Linked DNA regions of Macaca mulatta. The protein of the gene in region 3 interacts with the protein of the main gene of each other region in a biochemical or structural test. Links are inferred from orthologs where the notes say so. Each region holds a gene or a part of one and is shown on either strand. Other genes may lie near its edges. The genes, in order: JUP, PKP1 and DSG1.

What was found.
Region 1: the proteins of DSG1 (region 3) and JUP form a complex in vitro, tested with the Homo sapiens proteins (2 studies listed by BioGRID and IntAct). The link is inferred for Macaca mulatta from reciprocal best matches to the Homo sapiens genes DSG1 and JUP.
Region 2: the proteins of DSG1 (region 3) and PKP1 form a complex in vitro, tested with the Homo sapiens proteins (2 studies listed by BioGRID and IntAct). The link is inferred for Macaca mulatta from reciprocal best matches to the Homo sapiens genes DSG1 and PKP1.

Annotation. Positions count from the first base shown.
Region 1 is NC_133421.1:66,096,177-66,099,822, forward strand, and holds part of JUP (junction plakoglobin), read right to left. Parts: coding exon 3,440-3,646; intron 2,055-3,439; coding exon 1,853-2,054; intron 1-1,852. UniProt on the Homo sapiens protein: Common junctional plaque protein. The membrane-associated plaques are architectural elements in an important strategic position to influence the arrangement and function of both the cytoskeleton and the cells within the tissue.
Region 2 is NC_133406.1:58,927,688-58,931,974, reverse strand, and holds the start of PKP1 (plakophilin-1), read right to left. Parts: upstream 2,925-4,287; 5' UTR 2,517-2,924; coding exon 2,315-2,516; intron 1-2,314. UniProt on the Homo sapiens protein: A component of desmosome cell-cell junctions which are required for positive regulation of cellular adhesion.
Region 3 is NC_133423.1:61,190,781-61,194,941, reverse strand, and holds the start of DSG1 (desmoglein-1), read left to right. Parts: upstream 1-1,281; 5' UTR 1,282-1,509; coding exon 1,510-1,557; intron 1,558-4,161. UniProt on the Homo sapiens protein: Component of intercellular desmosome junctions. Involved in the interaction of plaque proteins and intermediate filaments mediating cell-cell adhesion.

The DNA.
Region 1 (3,646 bases), on a different chromosome or scaffold from region 3:
CGGCTAATTTCTGTGTTTTTGGTGGGGATGGGGTTTCACTATGTTGGCCAGGCTGGTTTCAAACTCCTGACCTCAGGCAATTCACCTACCTCGGCCTCCCAAAGTGCTGGGATTACAGGCGTGAGCCACCACACCCAGCCCACCCCAATAGTTTCATGACTGTTATGTAAGCCAAAATTTTGAAAAAAAGGATAATACCTAGTGCTGACAAGGATGTGACAAAACTATATGCACATCCATTACCAGTTATGGCACTGGAAATTAGTCCAATCCTTCTGGAAATCAGTCTGGCCATTTGGGTAAAAGCCTAGAACTGTTAAAAATCAATGAGAATTTTTTCCACTCTTTGACAAAGGCTATATGCCCAAAGACATTCGTTAATTCGTTAGACAGCATTGTTTATAAAGGTGGAATAGGAGCAATCTAAATACCCTCCCTCAGAATAAAGCCTAAGGTCTCCACTTAATGAAATGCTATCTGTAGGCTAGGTATGGTGGCTCATGACTTTAATCCCACTATTTCGGAGGCTGAGGCAGGAGGATTCCTTGAGGGTAGCCTGGGCAACAGAGCAAGACCCCATCCCCATAAAAAATTTAAAACTTAGCCCAGGTGCTAATTAGCTCATTGGTACGTTTCTGTAGTCCTAGTTATCAGGAAGGCTAAGGTGGGAGGAATGCTTGAGCTCAGGATTTTGAGGTTGCAGTGAGCTAGGATCATGCCACTGTACTCTAGCCTGGGTAACACAGTGAGACCCTATCTCAAAAAAGAAAGAAAAGGAAGAAATGGGAAGGAAGGAAGAAAGAGAGGAAGAGAGGAAAAGGGAAAGGAAAAGGAAAAAGAAAGGGGAAAGGGGAAAGGAAAGGCAATCTGTCATTATTAGAGGGTGGTTTTGAGGACAACAGAGCAAAAACAATTTTTTTTAAACATCATGCAGGCCAGACACAGTGGCTCATACCTGTAATCCTGACACTTTGGGAGGCCAAGGCAGACAGATCACTTGAACCTAGGAGTTTGAGACCAGCCTGGGCAACATGGAGAAATCTCACCTCTACAAAAAATTAGTCGGGGGCCCGGTGCAGTGGCTCACGCCTGTAATCCCAGCACTTTGGGAGGCCAAGGCAGATGGATCACCTAAGGTCAGGAGTTTGAGACCAGCCTGGCCAACCTGGTGAAACCTTGTCTCTACTAAAAATACAAAAATTAGCTGAGCATAGTGGTGGGCACCTGTAATCCCAGCTACTTGGGAGGCTGAGGCAGGAGAATCACTTGAACCCGGGAGGCGGAAGTTGCAGTCAGCTGAGATTGCGCCACCGCACTCCAGCCTAGGCGACAGAGTGAGACTCCATCTCAAAAAAAAAAAAAAAAAAAAAGAAGAGTAAAAAAGAACTAGTCGGGCATGGTGGCACATGCCTGAAGTCCCAGCTACTCTGGAGGCCGAGGTGGGAGGATCATCTGAGCCCAGGAAGTCAAGGTTGCAGTGAGCCCTGATTACACCACTGCACTCCAGCCTGGGTGACCCTGTCTCAAAAAAAAAAAAAAAAAAAAGCAGGCAGAAAACAGATGCAATGTTGCAGATTGTTATGACAAGAATGTGCACACATCTGTAGTCTGCCCACAGAACAGCTCTTAACGGAGCATATCGAAATGACAATAGTGGCTGTATGAGGATGAGTGATTTTTTTTCCTTATGCTCAAAATAATAATTCTGACCAATTCAGTCGCATGATGAAGCATGCACATCTGCCCCTATATCTCATCTAAAAGGAGTAAGGGGCAGCAGCCCGAAGCTGTGGAGGATAGAGGGTGACGCAAGGGTGGGCTTCAGGCCTCAGGAGGGTTGGGGAGGGCCCACCTTGCTCTCCTGGTTGCCGTAGGCCAGGAGCTGCAGGCAGTCGGTGGTGATGGCCAGGAACTTGGGATTGTTCTTGTTGAGCAGGGGCACCATCTTTTGCAGCCCGTCAGCCAGGCGCACGGCCATCTTGGCGCCCTCCTGGTACAGGAGCAGGTTATGCAGCGTGGTGATGGCGTAGAACAGGACCGACTCCACAGGGGAGCTGGGGGGGTGGGCAGGGGTTAGTATGCCGAGGTCCCAGGGGCCTGGCATACATGTGAGCCTGGTATGGGTTCCCACCTCCCCCAGGAAGCCTCCCCACTACTGACACCCCTCTGGAAATATCCCTTTGCTAAAATCTCATCACTCCTTGAGCCTGCCCGGCTCTTAAGCATGAAGCAAACAGCACCTGTCTTCTCCCAACTGAGACAATGACTCCTCCTGCTTCTGAGCCCCCAGCCCTGTGCTGAGCACACAGCAGGTCCCTAGACACTGATCCCTACTAAGTAACTACCATGTGGAAGGCCACATATTAGAGAGGCCTTGCAAGGTGTTCAGAGGGGAATGAAATCAGTGTCTCCCCTTCATGGAGCTCCCAGCCTGGTATAGGGATGAGAAATGAGGCCAGGCGCGGTGGCTCACGTCTGTAATCTCAGCACTTTGGGAGGCCGAGGCGGGGGATCACCTGAGGTTAGGAGTTCGAGACCAGCCTGGCCAACGTGGCGAAACTCCGTCTCTATTAAAAATACAAAATTGAGCTCGACATGGTGGCAGACGCCTATAATCCCAGCACTTTGGGAGGCCAAGGCGGGCAGATCACCTGAGGTCAGGAGTTCAAGACTAGCCTGGCCAACATGGTGAAACCCCATCTTTACTAAAAATACAAAAATTAGCCAGGCGTGGTGGTGGGCACCTGTAATCCCTGCTACTTGGGAGGCTAAGGCAGGAGAATCGCTTGAACCCGGGAGGCGGAGGTTGCAGTGAGCTGAGACTGCGCCACTGCACTCCAGCCTGGGCAACAAGAGGAAAACTCTGTCTCAAAAAAAAAAAAAAAAATTAGCTGGGCATGGTGGCAGACACTTGTAATCCCAGCTACTCAGGAGACTGAGGCAGAAGGAATATTCAAACCTGGGAGGTGGAAGCTGCAGTGAGCTGAGATCATGCCACTGCAGTCCAGCTTGGGCGACAGCAAGACCTCATCTCAAAAAAAACGAGAAATGAGACCAATCAACATTTTGTAGGGGGCCCAGAAACAGAAAGTTTGTAAGGAACTTTGCATTTGCTGTTCCCTCTGCCTGGGACACTCTTCGGTTCCTCCACACTAGCCAAACTCCACTCATCTGTTAATCCCCTGCCATTAAGCGATTCCACCTCTGAGCAACCTCAATGCTCTTCTGCCACAGCCTGTGTCATATCCTGATCATTAACCTGCTGTTTACATGCCTGTGTTCCCTGCTGGGCTGTGAGCCACTGAGCACCAGGATGGGGTGTGCCTCTGCCTGGCACATGATAGTTGCTCGCTGGGTATTTATGGAAGCCCAGGGAAGGGAGGGGAGAGGCCCAAGTGAGGCGGGGTCCTGGACTCCTGCACTGAGCAGGGGTGGGTACCTGAGCATGCGGACCAGAGCAGGGATGCCGCCCGACTTGAAGATGGCGAGCAGCCCCTCCCGGTGGTGGGAGAGGTTGTGCAGGATGCTGGTGGTACAGCGGGCCGTGTCCAGGTCACTGGTATTCTGCATGGTGCGCACGACAGCGGCCACCAGCTGGGGTGAGCCCATCAGGGCCCGCCGCGACGCCTCCTTCTTTGATAGCTGG
Region 2 (4,287 bases), on a different chromosome or scaffold from region 3:
CACAGCCACCAGCTCTTTCCATTCCAGGAACCAAGGCAGGCTCCTGACAGGTAAACCAGCATGAGAAAGAGGGAGCAGAGTGAGTAGAGGTGGCCGCAGAGCAAATAGGGGACGCTTGGGCGTTTCTGATGGAGAGGACAAGGAAATCTGATGAAAACGAAGCCAGCTAAACCAGAAACACCAGCTCCAAGTGACCAAACCGCCTCTTCCAGCAAGGATGCCTCTGGGGAAACCAGCCTCCTTTAGGAACCTCCGCAGAGTCTGAGGGTAGAGGGGACACGCCCACAGGGCCAGACCTTGGAGTTTCTGGAGAGGTAGCCATCAGCATCAACCCTCCCCTCAATGAAGCCCCCTGAAGGACCTTGGGAGGAAAAACAAAGAGGGAACAAAGGAGACCTTATCAGATAGAGGTTCCCCACAAAGACCAAGCCCAGAAAGTACACTTCAGGCTGACAGACACTCAGCCGATATCCTGATAGGTGGGAGGAATAAGGGGTCCTTGGGGCACCCAGGGCCATTTGAGTTTTCTGGAGTTGTGAGCCAAGAGCTCAGGCTGGGATGGAGTGGAAGTGGGAAGGGGACAGCCAAGTCTTGGGCAGAGAGGAGAGTAGATTGAGCAGTGCCCTGGGCTATAGCCAGAAATGGGGCACTTTGTTCTTCCAAACCTACTTCTAAAAAGGCTAGGAGGCACCTAACAATGCACCAAATAAAAGGGAAGGAGGCATGTGCTCTGGAGGCGGCACGAACTTGAGTGGAAATGTGAGGAGAGGAGCCCAGGGCTCAGACAAAGGCAAAGAGCACAGAGCAGCAAAGGCCTTTAGGTCTGGGGCCCAGGAAGTCATCTGCCCGCCATTTTCCTTCCTTCGGCTCTACATGGGGCCACTCAGGAATGGGGGCTAGGGAGTGGGTGGGGGGACAGAAGCCAGAGGTAGAAAGTGTGAGGTAGGGGTGTGTGTGTGTGTGTGTGTGTGTGTGTGTGTGTGTGTGTGTGTGTGTGGTGGGAGAATGGCCAAGGCTGGTTTCTTTTGTCTCCTTCCACCTTATGACCCCCTGCCCCTCACTCTCTCCTAAGGCCTGTCTTAATAAATAAGTCTTGGTTTACCTGTACTGGTTAGTGGTGGGCAAAGTCTTTATTAGTATTTTACTAAATTTAGCTAAATAAAATAAGTAAATAAATAAACAAGGGGAATCTTTGCTCACTTCTGTGTAATTCTTACCAGGCATCCTTTGTATTAAAGCATCTGTTTGGTCTATAAGCTCTCCCCTGTCAGGTACTGCCCCTTCCTCCTTGAGTTTCGCGGGTGCTGCCCCTTTCTCCCAGGCTTCCCCAGTCATGGGCTCTGGCCTCTCAGAAGCTGGAGGAGGGGGTGCCAGGCCCGGGATCCAGCTTGGAAAAGTTCCCGTGAGGGCTCAGCTAGAGGTCTCCCTGGTGCCTAGGGGTATTTCCAACCTGCCATGCTCATTCCTTACTCTCCCCATGAGACACTTGTCTACCTAAGCTGGGTGGGGTAGAAAGAATTCAGTGGGAAAGAGGAGTTCTGCATTGGCTATTCGGGAAAGAAGGCATCCTGACCCCCTTCCCTGTTGTCAAGGGACCCACTGGCCCTGGGGCGGCCTTCCAACTAGGCTAGCCTCTTTCAGGAGGCTCCCAATAAAGTGCCCTGGAGTTCCAGGGCCTCCTCCCTGCTCCCTGTGCCACTTCCCCGTCCCGCAGCGACTCTCCTGAGCTGCACTCCTGTCTCAGCGACTCCCTCACGCCGCTCGCGGATACACACGCACACGGGGACTGGGGTTCCCCTTGGCCTGAACGCCGGGCATCGGCTGCCAGCTGAAGGCCAGGAGATCAAGCCCAGGAAGGTTGAAGGGTGGCCCACAACTGATTGCGAGCGCGGGGACCATGGCCCCCAGGACAGCCAGGGTGAGACATGATGCAGGGCTGATCCCTAGAGCAGCACCCGAAAGAGAAAGCCGTCCAGACCCAGGGCTCAGGGACAGGAGAACCGCTCGCGGGGGATCCTCAGCCTCCTGGCACGCTGGGAGATACTGCCGGCTGTGTCCGGGTGAACCACCCATCCTTGCCCACTAGCGCGCCATCGAGCTCGTGGAGCTGTCGAGCCAGCCTCGGGTGGCTGTTCCATCTGCTCGGAACCGGCTAGGAGCTCGGCTGCTGGCATTCGGCGCGTAGACCCTGCATGGGGCCAGCAGCCCCTCACCTCCCCGCACCCCCTGGGATGCTTGCGTCCCTTGGTCTCCGCCGCTGGGCCAGGGCGCTCTGAAAAGGGGCGCACGGACCACGCGGGGACCGAGCCTTTACCTCGATTGGAGTGGCTCAGGGTGGACGACTGGGAAGACTTGGACTTCTGCCGCTTCACGGTCATCATCACCTGCTCCTGCACGCGCTGCCTGCCAGACGTGCCTGTTTTCATCTTTTGGTCCGACGGCAAAGCCAAAGTGGAGTTGTCCTGGTCCTGGAAGCATTCGTACGCCAAGGCGGTCTTGAGCGGCGAGTGGTTCATGGTGGCGGGAGGCTGGAGGCGCGCGGCCGGGGCCTGGGAGAGCAGAGAGGCGAGGCGAGGTGCGGTGCAGCGGGCGGGCGGTAACGTGCTCTTCTCGCTCTCAGCAGCTCCCTACGGCCATAGAGTGCGTGGTCCGCGTGAGGGCTCCCGGCAGCTGCTCCTGGCGCTTCCACCCCGGTTCGTCCCTCTTTGGTAGTGGCGAGGCCCGCCCTCCGTCAGACAGGATATACCACCCCTGCCCTGCACCACCCACTCCACCTGGCCGCGCGCTGCTGCCGCTCAGACGCGGAGCTGCAGGGCACTGCTGCTGCGGAGCCAGCGCTCTTGGGGGCAGGGCTACGAGTCCCCCGTGTGGGACACTGAGCGCCTTCCTGCTCGCTCTTTTTTTCTCTCCTTTTCCTCTCCCCATGAGCAAGAAACGTCGCAAGCCTTGAGGCCCCAGGGAGACGCCCCTCTGTCCTGTTCTGCCGGCTCACTGAGAAAGCATGTGTTCAGCTCAGGAACCGAGGGAGACCTCTCTCTAGGAAAAAAGGAGTCTTTCTTGACCAGGCTGTCCGGGAGAGCCAGGCGTCCATCTCCCTCTGTACTGCGGTCATAGCAGAGACCAGCCCCGGCGGTGGAGGCTCCCGGGCTGATGGCAGAACCATAGCTCTTGCTCCAAAGGAGTGCTCCATCTTATGGGGGCAACCCAGTCTACTCTAAAGCAGTTTCCTCTGAAGCAAGTCGGGTAGGGGCAGGAAGGCCACATCAAGGAGCAGACTTGAGATATCAGACCACACAGTGGGTATGCCTTGGTGAAACTGGTGGTTGTTTGTTGTTCATGAGTATAGCCCGGTAAAACACCACGTGAACAGCGGATCCTCTCTGAAACTCCACTGTAGCCTCTGATACAATGCCTGGCACAGGTAATATTAGGTACTCAATAAAAGATATTTTTAAATAGGTGAATACATGAATGCTAGTTAATTTAAGGTAAATTAAATCTAACTTGGATCCTAACGAGATCCTCACTGAAAAATTGAAAAGCTGCTTTATCCTGAAACTCCACTCTGGACTTACTATTTTGGGACCACTGTGTGCATTCCCCTATGCACACTCACACCCCTGGGGACACATGTGCAGTGAAGCTTCATTCATGTAGCATCCTCCCCAGGGATGGAGAGAGCCCACATCAGTGAATCTGGTGTGTAACAGGAACCGAGTGCTTTTTTTTTTTTTTTTAAAGTATTTACTTTGATGGAAATCTTTCTAAAAAGTATCGCATTCTGCTTTGCCTCCTAAAGCAAACAACACTGAACATATTTGCTGTACTTCTTGATGCCCTGAGTTTCACATTCTGGACATCCATTACTGAACTGTGTAGTCGTGCAGTCCAGTCAGCTTCTTAGTTTTGGGGCCTCCACCAGCTGTGTGACACTATCACAGCCGTCACTCTTGCTGTCATTTGAGGTTGCCCTTCACAGCTCACATGCTTTACTTTTAGTTTGCTCTTCTAATCTACGGAGGAAAGGGCAATCAGAAATCTATTCTTTTTGGGAATTTTATGTCGAGGAAGGATCTAGAAGACTGAATGACTGTCTCAGGGACCACATGAAGGTCACTCACGCACTTCCTGAGTGTGAGTGTTACATGCTGGGAGCAACTTGCCCAAGGAAGGTATTCCTGGTAGCAATTTCCAGAGCAGAGTGTTGTAAAACAGACTGTAGTTTCTAATAGAAACAATTTTATTATTGAGGGCTCTGTTCCTAAGAATTTATCCTCAAGTAAACCA
Region 3 (4,161 bases):
GACCAACCCATCTTTCTAAATTTTATTTATTTACATCTGCTATTTACAATCATAAGCATTCTTATTCACTGCAAATAAACATGGGCAGGCTATCTCCTACCCTCTACAGTCTATGATGGATAATATGAAAATTCAAACCATGCATCTTCTTTGCCACAAATCTGTAGTGAAATGACAGCCTTCTATAGACTCTCTGACCCTCAGAGATATTCTTCCTTTTGGAGACATTTTGAGTACTTTTTGACCATAATCAACATCTCATCAGATAGGTCTCTTGTTCCAAGTAGCCGTTTCAAACTCTGAGGGCATCTAGTGCCTATGAGCTTCCTGCCACTCACAATATTTATACTAGACATTGTCAGGGGAAGAGAAGAGAGTCCAAAAATATGTCCAAATGCTGCCTTGTGAAGGTTGCTATTTGTTTTCACAAACCTCAGGGCTGCATTCAGTTTCCCATCTACATGTGTAGGCAGCCATTTCTTCAGTGTATTCCCTGTGTTCTAATTGGCTCACTGTACAGATTCTTGGCTCTGTGCTTGGGAATTGTCATTGACTTTTAACCCACCTCACCTGTTGAGCAGCTTTCTGTGTTTCCATTAGTATTTCAGGCACCAAATCTCATTTTTAAAATTATTATCAGGATTTTAATTGATAGTCCTCACTATTCACCCTTAATTAAGTTTAGTAATATTTAAATTTTTGTTTTATTGTATTTAAAAAAAAAGAATCATAAAGAAAGAAAAATACTTAGGGAAAGAAAATCATTCCTTTAGAGGGAAAATGGAGGATTCCTTAGACTTAAGGCTGGTCAGTTAATGGGAATTGTGACTTATGCAGAGGTTCTAATAATTATAAGCATCACAGTTTTACTTATTGGAATTAATAACTTTAAAAAAGCCTCACTCGCATTAGCAAATTTTCCTTCTCTTAACAGCTGAAAATAACTGAAACTTTCCCAACATCTACTAAAATGGAAAATTTGTAATTTTCTACTATGACCCGAGGGTTTGGCTACAAACAGCTAATCGAATGAATAATATGAGCATTCAAGTTATACCTGCCTGTTGAATATGGGGAGAAACTAAACTAGCTGTAAAGAAAGCATGGGGTGAGAAGCCCCCATCACCTGTATAACCCTCCACATTTCTGTTCACTTTAAGAGCCTGCTACTGAAAACCTTCAGTAAAGGAGTGAATCTTCCTTGCCCCATCGAGAGTTGCTTTTCAGCTAGAAGAAGGGTGTGTCCCCAAGTTTTTACCTGGGAGCAATGATGATCTTGTCAAGCATTTCAGTGAGACCAGCCCAAGTTTTTAGGGTGGGGATCCAGACTGGTTATACGTACCTTCAGTCCTTCTCCCAGAGGAAGGCAGAAACACCTCAAAGCCTGCATGTAAGAACATCTACTGAGAAATTATTTTAATCAGACACCAGCTGAGTGGGAGAAAGAAAAAGAACAGAGAAGAACAAACAAAACTCCCTTGGTCTTGGATGTAAGAGAATCCAGCAGAGATGGACTGGTGTTTCTTCAGAGTAGCTGCAGTGCTGTTCATTTTTCTGGTGAGTGGATTCTGGTAAAAACCCTTCATAATCATGCTCATTGTAAACAAGTGAAAACTTTTTAGAAAATGTTAGTAGGCATTATTTCTAACCTAAACCCATTTAAAATATATGTTAATGACAAGGTGATTTTATGAACTAGATTTTTCAATAGCATTTCTCTCTAACTGAAGACTCAAGATCATGTTAATGCATCAGTGTCAACTCATTGTATTACATCTCTGACATTGAAGTCATTGCTAAGTCATGCTGGGAAAATATTGAATTTAGGAAATTCCTATCGCTAGTTAGTAGCACTTTGTGGTTCAAAATCTCTTGCAAGAGGGCTTTTAAACTAAATATCACAAGTGTGTCTGGGTTTTTAACCTAATTTTGTTTTTTGTTTTTTGTTTTTTTAGTATCTTTGATAGTGGAATTACTCTAATTTTTAAAACATAAAAATGGCATCCACATAATTTAAAATCATAGCAGTTTGTGGCTGGCCTCGCTATCCAAATAAACTCATCAGTTGCATATTTGGTTAGAATCTGTATCACTACTTTACAAAGCCCCACACTGTTTATGATTTTATTTAAAACATTTTTAATTTCAAAAAATGGCAGTATAGGAGGTTTATAAATGACATATGAAGTGAAGAAGTGGCTACAATTAAAGAGTAAATATAACTATTATTACACTTGATCTTACTACTGGAATGTCAGTGATGACTGTGATACAAAAGTTGTGCACTTGATGGTCAGACGAATGTGATGAAATACTTTACCATTGCCCCCTTACATGTAATTCGTTTTCTCTTTGTAGAGATAATACTAAGTGCACCACTAATGTATTATGTCAATTTCACTTTCAGTGAAAATTTGAAAATTGTAATCTCTCTCACAATAAGGTTAATGTAATTCAAAAAGGCAGGTGCCAAGTCAATTGCCCTCCAGCTTGGCAGGATGTATAATGCTGTGGTTCACATTTGTTTCTACTTGCTTGATTTTTGAACTGGAATGTTGGGTTGGTATAATAAGTTAGATCTTTGATTCAAGGTATGCTGGTTAGTTTGAATTCAGTTTATTAACTAAGGCAGGACATAATCAGTGGATTTAGTTATAAATGAGCATCAGTAAAATGGTGGCTTTACTTCCAAGCTTTCCTTCAAACATTAGTCTTATCCCATACTCTTTTCAGTGGATATTTAGAATCAGTTGATTTCATTACTTAGGGTTTGGTAGGGATCACTGAGCATCATACAGTATGTCATTTGAAATGCAAGAGTTTCATATTGTCAGTAATCAAATACTTTGACTTAAAATTTCAAATAAATTTGATCCATTAAGGGCTATTATAGTTTTAGTTGATCAGCTTGTTCAGAAAGGTGTACACTAACTTTCATAGAATCTCTAAGATGTACCTTATTTCTTGATTTATTTATTTCAAATTAATTACAGCATATCAAATGTCTTTAAACAATCACTTTCTATTTAGTCATTCTTCAATAAAATGTATCATCATCAAAATCGTTTATCTTTATTGAACTTTCTCTGGCTGTGCCTAGATTGTTTTTTGTTGGTTTATGGGTTGTTTTTGGGAATGGGGGAAGAGGAGGTTACCTTATTTTATATTGAAATCAATCACAAGTCTCTCACATGCCTTATGAAAATTATTTCTCAAATAACTTACACTATCATGAATTACAATGTTTCATTTTCACGTTGACATGACAGCTTTTTTTTTTAAAAAACATTTCACTTTCTAAGGTTTGGAAGATCAAAATTTATTTTAAGTACTGATTTTGCCACATGGGATAATTTTGGTAATTGTCCTTTGGAGTTTCCTAATCTGTATTTTTCTTTAAAATACTTTTTTCTTCAAAACAACCACCCACTATAGCAAATTATTTCAGTTATCTTTCTTCTAGTCTCATTATAAATGCGTGCTTTTACCAAAAAGTGAAAAAAATCTGTGTAAAGTCTTTATATTCATCTCTACTCAAAGTCAGTAAGTGGGAACCTGCATTAGGAAGTGTGTTTGTACCGTAGTTAAGGCCTTTAAGATATTCAAATTGGTCATGTCTTTTAAGCACATCCACCTGAGAACTGGGTAACTATCTGTTTGCAAGCATACTGTGTATTCAGCTCAATGCATCTGAAGGTTGTGAACCTTGTTCAAATGAGTGGGTTGAATCAGGGAGAACAAAGCTGGAGGAGCTGCTCTTACAGCAAACAAGATTGCTCTATGGCTAGTCTATTGTTCTGACAAGTCTCCTAGACAGACAAGAGATTACACCTGCTATAACACTGCAAGTCAAACACGTTTTGTTAATTCTACATCTATTTTGCTTTCTTCTTTTTGTTTCCGTATAATCATTGCATGGAGTAGGGAAAGGAGTTAGAATGTATTTTCTCTAGGCCAGAGAACAATGCTTCCTATGCACCAGATAAAAGAAATCTGTGTGCATGTGTATGACAATGGTAAAAAGTACAGCATGGTCACTGTGGGAAAGCAAAACAGAGCCAGCGGGATCTCTATGGTTTTAATGATTTCTGAAAATTACTTGCAACTTTGCCAGGTCCAATTAGTCCGTTTAAGTCACTACAAATATGAAGATGTCTTTTT